Saccharomyces cerevisiae S288C: one gene and its partner. The gene in region 2 interacts genetically with the main gene of each other region. Each region holds a gene or a part of one and is shown on either strand. Other genes may lie near its edges.

Region 1 (5,177 bases), on a different chromosome or scaffold from region 2:
TAAACACTGGTTCGGAATACCAATGAAGTATACATATTCTGGTTCAACAACTGTTTCTATTCAAAAACTTTGAATGTTTGAAATGCGCTACGTCTATTTGTTTGCAATTTGTATTAAGTTTGTTTCAAGCTCCGAACTAGGAAAAATCAACAATCTGCTGCAAGGAAGATTGATATACACAGATAATTCCGTTGCGACAAATGTATTAGAATCCAAATTTCCATTCTTGAAATCAACATGTGTTAAAGACGCACTAAAATTATTTTTGCCACAATGTATTGCAAATGGACTTGAATCCATTGACGCTGAAACAAGGGTAGAAACGGCCATTAAACTTTCAATATGCGAGTTTCAGGCATCTGGCTTGGGCGAAATACCAGAAAATTGCATGGTTGACGACCTAGGATCAATGATGGATTGTATGTTTGAACTAGAATCATCTTCACAGTGGTGGACAACTTATAGTGGAAATTATCAGCGACTATCGAGTATTTGTTATGAAAATCTTCTTCCTTTTGAAAAAGAACAGATACTGAAACTTTTTCTAAATATCACTGAACTTTATGATTCATTTGGGGATGATGTCGATACTAAGTTAAATCATCTGATGTTTCAAATGGAGCAAGATTCTCAAAATTTTTTGGACGATCTGGCCAGGATGTTCCGCAACTATGACAATGAACTGCGAAATGCGACCGAAAGCAATCGAATAATCTTAGAAAACGACCTCTCATTTTTTAGAAATAAAGTGAATGATGTACTCTATGAAACTTCCGAACAACTAGAGGTCCAAATCATAGAGAAGAACAGTCAACTAATGAATGAAGTTGATACCGTCCATCATATTATGAGCGATCTAGCCGATGAGCTTGCTAAAAATGACATAAAATCTAAGATAAATGACTTGAAGGACGACAGCCTGAATAATTTACAGGACCTAGTGGAAATGTCCAACGACGTAAAAGAATATTACTCTAGAAATAACAAGTTAGTTAATACCGAGTTGGAAAACTTCTCGATGGGTTTAAAAAAACAGTTAGGAGGCATGTCAAAGGATCTTTCTGAATCACAAATGGAAGCTATAGAGCTCTTGCAAGGGTTCAATTCCATCCTTCATGATTCATTGTTACCATCCATGACGGATGAGATAGTACCTGAGATGACGAACTTCAAAAATACCTTACTACAAGAATGGACAGCTATAACATCTACACTAAATGGAGATTTTGCTTTATGGAATGAGGAGATTTTTTCAACTTTTAATGATATTTCAGAGAAACTGAATGGCACAAAAAAAAAATTAGACGACATTGAAATCAGAGTCTCACTTGTCCATAAAAATGTCATGACAATGATGAGGGTATTGGATTTTATGTGGAAAACTAGTAAAATGATTATAAGATGTGGGTACCTTGCAGTCAAGAATAAATACTACTGGTTACTGTGCTCCGTTGTGTGGATTTGGTCAAAATACCGTACGTCTCGAGTAAACGTCAAAATGATTCCTATTAAACGCTATTACCAATGGGCAGCTCTTCTACTTTCAATTTATCTAGGAGCTAAGACTGGCTCATTGATTGATTTTTAACATTACCGATGTAACAATATATGAAAGCCTATATATACATAGATGTATAGGTATATAGCCGCATTCAAAGTCTAGCAAAATAAATATTCTTTAAAAATTCAAGGACACCGGATCATGGTGGCCATAATACGGGCAAGTGAACCTAGAGAAGGTGTCCTACGTCACTATCCAAGTTAATTTGCTTAAGAGAGTTCGAGTGCAGCACCTACAGCTTTATCATTGAAGACGAAGCAAAAAGATCTTGAGATTCTATATCATGGGCACAGGTAGTATTCATTAGGTAGTAGTAACGTATTAAACAAGGCCATACTATATTTATAACTCATGTTCAAATACAACCGCTCACTCTGTAGCAGCGCTTTGATAGCAAAGTCTCAGATTCGTTTTTATAGATTGAAGCGGGCGCCATTGAATTATGCCTCCCATATACCTGAAGTTCTTAATAAGACCATCATAGGGCCAGACGAACCAGAAAAATGTCTCATTTTGAAAGGAAAAACATCAGAGGAAATCGAAAATAATCTTCTCAGTAATAAGAAATTTCAGGAGATCAATCCTCTTGATACTATCCAGGAAACGTTCATTCAATATCTGAAATTTTGTAATGAAACTAACTTTAAAAGAAGTAACAAGAATTTAAACAGATTAAAAAAAACCTTAGAAAGCAAGGACTCTAATAGCACCGTAAAAATTAATGCAGTTTTCAATTATTTGCTCGAAGAGTGTGATTTAGAAATCAAAAGATTGAACACGACCGGCCAAACCCAGGTATACAATGAAGAGAAAGGAAATGAAGATGACTTAGAGCAATCCATAATGAACGATATTTTCCGATCAGCACAAGAACAATTTGAAGATCAAGAGGGCCATATACCGTTAAGGAGTACATCATTTTTACTGGAGATTTTGAAAAGTTTTAATGAACGGTTTAATGGCATAATCAAACCGAAAGAGTCAATAACAGAAATGGTCACATTCAGCCAACTTGCTCAAGCTTTTGAAGTTGTTAAATTGATACCAGTGCAAGAAATGAAGGAGAAAGGGATTTACTTGGTCGGAAATTTACTTTATGGCACAGGGAAAGTTCGTTTAGATCCTATAAATGAGTCATTCTATATTGAATCCCTACTAGTTTTTGGAAACTATAAGGCTGCATACAGTTTATTTATTACCAATAAAGACAAAGTAAACGAGCGCTGGTGGAATGAACTAGGATTAATGATCACATTAAGGTCTAACCACTTGAGAAACTTCAGGAAACTTTTAGCCGAGACAGATGCAAAGTACTCAACAAAGTATTCTTATTTGAGCCCAAGAGTTACCAAATTGAGCATACGAAAATATTTGTCGATTGGCAATGTTACTGAAGCTAATATACTGACTGATCGATTTATTAAGTTAGTGGAAGAAGTTGGAATAATCAGAATGAAAGATGAGCAGGAGGAACTTCCCACGGGAGTTAAAAATTTTCAGAATGAGAAACATGCAACTGAGTTCTTAAATGAACTAGAAATACCATCGGATCATGATTATATCAGCATTGTTGATTTCCATCTTTATAAGAGAAATATTCCCATGGCGGCTCAACTTATCAGCAAGTACATGGAAATACCTGGAACGACACAAGAAGATGCCGCATTTCTACTTGTTAAAACCAAGCTAAATATGTTGAAAGATTTTGAAAAGCTACGAAACATTTTTGCTCAAAATAAAGATTATGTAGTGCCTGAGAATAATGTGAAAATGTTGCAAGAGGCATTTGAGAGCGTTATTACTAAGTATAACACTAATTCTCCAATATACAATGAATTGCTGTTTGAGAATGTTTCGGCCTTAACAAAAAGTATTGTATTAACTGATTTTCTGGAAGAGTTCATTACTAAACAGGCTTCTGGACAGTGGATGGAATTAAACAGTGTGTCACGTTCCAGAAAGTTTAATGGCTTGTTGAACATACTTCTCGGTACAGGTGAAGAAGAAAAAGCATATAATATCTTAAAAAAACTAGAAGAAGCCTCAAAGAAATCAAAAACAGATCCAGATTTACTCTATAATCAGTTTTATTCGGAAGTTAATGCATATCATTACGCTAAATTTGTTGAATTTTATAGTCTTCAAATTCAAAATATGAAGGCACAAAATACGCCCTCATTTAGAAAAAAGGAATTTAAGCAGAAAGTGAAGTCACTTTTAAAAAGAATGCAGGAGTCAGAGGTTATCCCAAATGCTGTTTTTTTGAGAGAAATACTCAATTTTTATGATAGCATGTATGACTTTAATTCAAGTTTTGAGATCATCAATCCGCTACTTGAATCCAAACAACAGGTGAGCTCTGAGTCTTCATTATCCACCTCAAACCCTTGCCGATTTTACAACCGTCGCATCATAACAAAACCGCTGTACCACAAGATTTGGTCTGTGTATTGCCATTATTATCATGTTTTACAAAATAATTCTAGGATTTTATCGAAAAAGTCGTCCATTGTAAAGAAATTAATAAAAAGGCAGATAAAGATTCACCCAACTTGTCACCCAAGAGTATTGTTCCAAATGACGGCAGAAAATGGTGAAATTTTGCCAGACAAAACTTTTTCTAAATTAATTGTGTCCACGTTCATGAAAAGCGGGGATTTAGAAGCAATACCTGCCATATTAACGTTTCTAACGAAAAAATTTGACTTGAATATTGATTACGATTTGAGTATGTATATTCTAAAGGGTTTGAAAAGACAATATTTACGAGATATTAGTAACATCAGTAAAGATGCTTGTGAGTACAAGTTACGGAAGGCGGAGCTAATGAATAATGAGTCAATCTTAAAAAACATTCCACAGGGTACAAATCAAGAGAATACAATATCCCATTTGATCAGGGAGATTTTGATCTTTATAAAATGGAAGGAAAAAAGTGATTGTTCTACTTTCTTGATGGTAGAAGATGCTTTTAAAGAATTAGGAACAGAGTTTACTTTACTCGAAGAATTAATAGAAGATGTAAATAAGTTAAAGATAAAAGCCTAAAAAAACGGATGCATTTTATATAATTTTAGCTATACGTGTACATATTTGTAATAAAGTTAAAAGAGGAGACTGTTTAGCTTTGTATTTATTTTTTACTTAATTTCATCCATTTAGGTACTCTATTTAAAGTCTTTTTGATACTTGTAGCGTTATCAGAAGGGCCCTGTGGATTGGATTTATTTATCGTATTAACTGATGGGGTTGTCCTCGTTTCGTGTGTGATTTTTTGTGCGTCTTCCAAAAGATGAGCCTTTATTAATGGGCCATTAGAATTTGAATTTGTTTCAAAAAGCAGCATTGTTTTAGAGCCAAATTCCAGGTCATCCAGTAGCTTCTTATCGTCTTTAGCCAAGGGTTTGAAAGGATGAGATTGGTTTAACGTAAAAGGCATGTTCTCATCGATCAGGAACTGCGACACGACGTTATAAACTGTACGCATGTCTTCATTGGGTTTGAATGCTATTTGAATATGGCTTCTATCGGGGAACTTGACTCTCAGCAAACACTCAGATATAGCCTTATTTTTCTTTGGCAAGTTGTTGGCTGATTGCTCTCTAAGTCTCTTTGT
Region 2 (4,656 bases):
ATGATAATTCTTTTTACGTTATTCCTGATGTAAAGGATACAAAATGGGTTTCTTTATTTTGCAGCAGAACCGTAAAATTTACGCTACTTTTACCGTGGGTCCTCTTATTTGATTGTTTCCGTCGCTACGAGCGAACAAGGGGTGGAGACAATAGGGATGGTGAATATATACACATACGTTCATATATAAGAAAAAAACTCAAGAAGAATATCAAACGACCAGGATCCTTGCTTATATTATTGTCTGTTGCTGGGCCAACACATATTTTCATTTCAACACACCAATCTCAGGTATTAAAGAGAAATCATTGTAAGGTAAAAATGTCTACGTTGAAAGTTGTTTCATCAAAGCTTGCAGCTGAAATCGACAAAGAATTGATGGGTCCTCAAATCGGATTCACTCTACAACAGCTAATGGAGTTAGCTGGGTTTAGTGTCGCGCAGGCTGTATGTCGCCAGTTTCCACTGAGAGGCAAGACAGAAACGGAAAAGGGCAAACATGTATTTGTTATTGCTGGGCCAGGTAACAATGGCGGGGATGGTCTCGTGTGCGCAAGACATTTGAAGCTTTTTGGTTACAACCCTGTTGTTTTCTACCCCAAGAGAAGCGAGCGCACTGAATTCTACAAACAGCTGGTTCACCAATTGAATTTTTTCAAAGTTCCTGTCCTGTCTCAAGATGAGGGAAACTGGCTGGAATATTTGAAGCCGGAAAAGACCTTATGCATTGTAGATGCAATATTTGGTTTTAGTTTCAAGCCTCCCATGAGAGAGCCATTCAAGGGCATTGTCGAAGAACTGTGCAAAGTGCAAAACATTATCCCGATTGTTTCGGTGGACGTCCCCACAGGTTGGGACGTTGACAAAGGTCCGATCTCTCAGCCCTCAATTAATCCTGCTGTTCTTGTATCTCTGACTGTCCCCAAGCCATGCAGCTCTCACATAAGGGAGAATCAAACAACTCATTACGTGGGGGGAAGATTCATTCCTCGAGATTTCGCCAATAAATTCGGCTTTGAGCCATTTGGATATGAATCCACAGACCAAATATTGAAACTCTGATAGCCCAAATCTATAATGCCACTACCATACATAATTTTTATATAATCCCTTATTTTGTGAACAAATAGCCATCATGATTCTCTTTTAAGATGATAAAACCGTCGTTTCTTTTTCTGACGCGCCATCTTTTCTTTTTCTATCTGTCTTTTTTTTTTTTCCTTTGGTGTTTCATCCGAAGAAGAAACAAAAGAAAGAAGACCAATACTTTCTAAAGGGCAATTGCAAGGTAGATATAACTAGAATTGCACAATAGAGATTGCTTGCATCAGTGGCATAGTTAACAATATTTTCTCGGCCTCCTTTGACGTAAAATCTAAAAGACCTAGTGCTTTCAAAACCCGCGCATACTGAAAAAAAAAAAAATAAAGAAGAGTGTACTGAACTGGTACTATAATTCATCGAAACTCATTTATTCCATATTAAACCGGTAGAAAACAGTATTTTTTTTGGTCTGTGTTTGAAACAGAAATTCTAACTGAAAAGTTTAGGATTTACGTATAGTAAGAGTAATGTCATTACCGGGTACACCTACTACATCTCCGACCCCGATGGATGAGGATACTGAACAAGCCGTTTCGGTTAATACTGAACCCAAAAGAGTAAAGGTTTACATTTTAGAGAACAACGAATGGAAAGACACAGGTACAGGGTTTTGTATAGGGGAGGTGGACGAAGGTAAGTTCGCATATCTTGTTGTCTCAGATGAAGACTCCCCAACTGAAACTTTACTAAAATCCAAACTAGAAGGAAATATTGAATATCAACGGCAGGAGGAAACGCTTATTGTTTGGAAGGATTTAGGGGGGAAAGATATAGCCTTGAGTTTTGAAGAAAGTATGGGATGTGACACCTTATGTGAATTCATTGTTCACGTCCAAAGGAACATAGAGTCAAATATTTCTTTAGTCACCGTAAAATCCAGCGACAACGGACTCGGGTCTGTTCACGACATTATAACGGGCCCTGTGACCTTGCCCTCCAACGACCAGCAACAGAATAGTCAAACTTTACTAGAAGCTCTAAAGATTTTGAATGAAAATACTTCTTTCGATTTTTTGAAAAACGAAACCATTGAGTTTATCCTCCAGTCAAATTACATTGATACACTGATTTCTCATTTCCACAAAGCAGAAGAAGAAAAGATACCGAAGGATTTATTTTTGCTAAGTAACATCATCAAAACTTTGATACTTTACAATAAAAGAGACATATTGGAGTCAATGGTGGAGGACGATAGGATTATGGGAATAGTTGGGATTTTAGAATACGATACTGAATACCCTACATCAAAGGCAAATCATAGGAAATATTTAGGATCAAAAGGTCCCAATTTCAAAGAGGTTATTCCATTGGAAAATGAGGACTTAAAAATAATAATGAAAAAATGTTTTCGCTTACAGTTCTTAAAAGACGTGGTATTAGTACGATTTTTAGACGATCATAATTTCAACTTAATCTCGGAAATTGTCATGGACCTGGAAACGTGTATAATCGACTTTCTTCAAGTAGGGACGTTTTTGGACAGACTAATAGAGCTTTATGATACCAAAACCCTTCCAGAAAGCTCTTCAGAGAAGGAGAAGTTTGTACAAAAACGAAAAGACGGGATTAGATTGTTGCAACAGTGTGTTCAAATGTCAATCAATTTAGATGCGGTTGACCGTTCTAAGTTCTATAAAACACTTGTTCGAAAGGGTCTATTCAAAGTTTTAGATTATGCATTTCACATGGAGACGGATAGTAATGTTAGGATTTTAGCTACGGATACTATCATTACTATAATCGAACACGATATCTTGTTAATTCACAACGTTCAGAATGAAGATTCTTTCAAACGGCAACATAAATCAGCGCCCGATGACAAGTCTTCCCATCGGAAATATCCGCAGGATTACAGCTCCAGTACTGATTCCAAGTTGTTATTGATACTTTCAACCATTCTTCTGTCCGACAGGAGTCCCGGATTGCGAGAACAAGTTGTGCAAGCGCTAAATACTTTGCTTCACCCTGAAGGATGTGTGGGTAATGGAGAAGGTTCATATGATCTTATGGGCAGATCAAATTATGAAGCTAAGAACACATCTGAAGATTTCCCAAGTTTCAGTTATGGTTTAAACTCGGATTCAATCAATTTAAATAACTATCACTATAGCAGCGATGAAATGAATAATCTAGAGCCAGAATCTGAATCTGAATTTCAAGTAATGGAATATTTTGCAAATTTCTATAATAAAATCGCACCCATACTGTTTGGTCCATTAATCAAGAAGGATATCACAACGGAAATGGCAGAAATAGATGGGCAAATAGAAAAGGTTACAAAAGACGATCTTTTGTTAATTCATTTAGTGAAATTGGTATCATTTGTTTGCACTGAGCATGATCGTGTCTTATCCAGAAGATTCATATTAGAAAACGGTATACTAGATTCTGTTAGCAAACTTATCGGCGGTAATCATATGATGCAGCTAAGGTTAACAGCAGTAAGATGCATTAAAAACCTTATGTGTCTCGATGATAAATACTATCATCGATATATGATTTCAAAAAATTTATATGCGCCGGTTTTTAAACTCTTCCAGGAGAACATAGATAAGAATAATCTTGCAAATTCATGCATTCAAGATTTTTTCCGCATTATTATAACAGAATGTAGAGCTTATCAAAGTGATGGCCATAACAGAAAGGAAAAAACCAATGGTTCTTATGATGGCAACGGTAATGACGTCAAAACGAACGTGAACAACAATAGGACAAACTTTACCATTTTAAACAAATACTTAGTTCAAACATATGGTGATGTCTTGAGAAAAGCTACTGATATCCCTTTCATCCAGGATATGCTAGAAACCGGGGAAGAAAACCAACCCGATCATTCTAGCTTTGAAAATAGCATTGAAGGGGGGAATGACATTTCTGTAAATATGTCAACAGATGGATTTGCTTCGAATCATTTAGAAGATATTGACATTAAAAACGTCAAAAGATTACATTCTGAGATTGAACACTTTGAAAATGACCCCCATTATTCTGGTGATCAGTTAGCATTTAAAAAAAGCGTTGACCAAATGAATGCAAGTACTTGAGTTTTTCCTTGTTGGAAAGAAGAATAAAAAGCTAGCACAACGGTCATGGTTGTAAGAAGTTTAACAACGATAGTGCACTCATTGTATATAAAATTCATCAATATACAATTAACTATCAAAAAGCATACGAGAAAGTGTCATATAATAATAGTACTCAATACCTATACGTATTATAATTTAGATGTCATACTCTTTATTAAGGCTTCTGGATACAACTCATGTCCAAAATAGGTCCCTAAATGCCACATACCACCGTCAACAACTAAGACGGTACCGGTGACATACGATGCGGCGGGTGAAAAAATATAAACAGTAGATTCGGCTATATCCCGTGTAGATCCAAGCCTTTGTAATGGTATCTTTGCCAAGGCCTTTTCCTTATATTTTTTGCCGGCTAATCTCTTCAAGCCTTCCGTATTATCGATAGCACCTGGAGCAATGCAATTCGAACGTATACCCAGAGGCCCCAACTCAACCGCTAAATTCTTTGCCAATGCGTCTATTCCCGC

Evidence for each region.
Region 1: mutations in PSY2 (region 2) and SOV1 impair growth when combined (synthetic growth defect), as found in Saccharomyces cerevisiae (one study listed by BioGRID).

The regions. Positions count from the first base shown.
Region 1 is NC_001145.3:399,629-404,805, forward strand, and holds SOV1 (Sov1p), read left to right. Parts: upstream 1-1,912; coding exon 1,913-4,609; downstream 4,610-5,177. Other genes in the region: KAR5 (Kar5p), read left to right, coding at 74-1,588; UBX4 (Ubx4p), read right to left, coding at 4,695-5,177.
Region 2 is NC_001146.8:260,118-264,773, reverse strand, and holds PSY2 (Psy2p), read left to right. Parts: upstream 1-1,570; coding exon 1,571-4,147; downstream 4,148-4,656. Other genes in the region: NNR1 (NADHX epimerase), read left to right, coding at 321-1,061; SPS19 (2,4-dienoyl-CoA reductase (NADPH)), read right to left, coding at 4,318-4,656.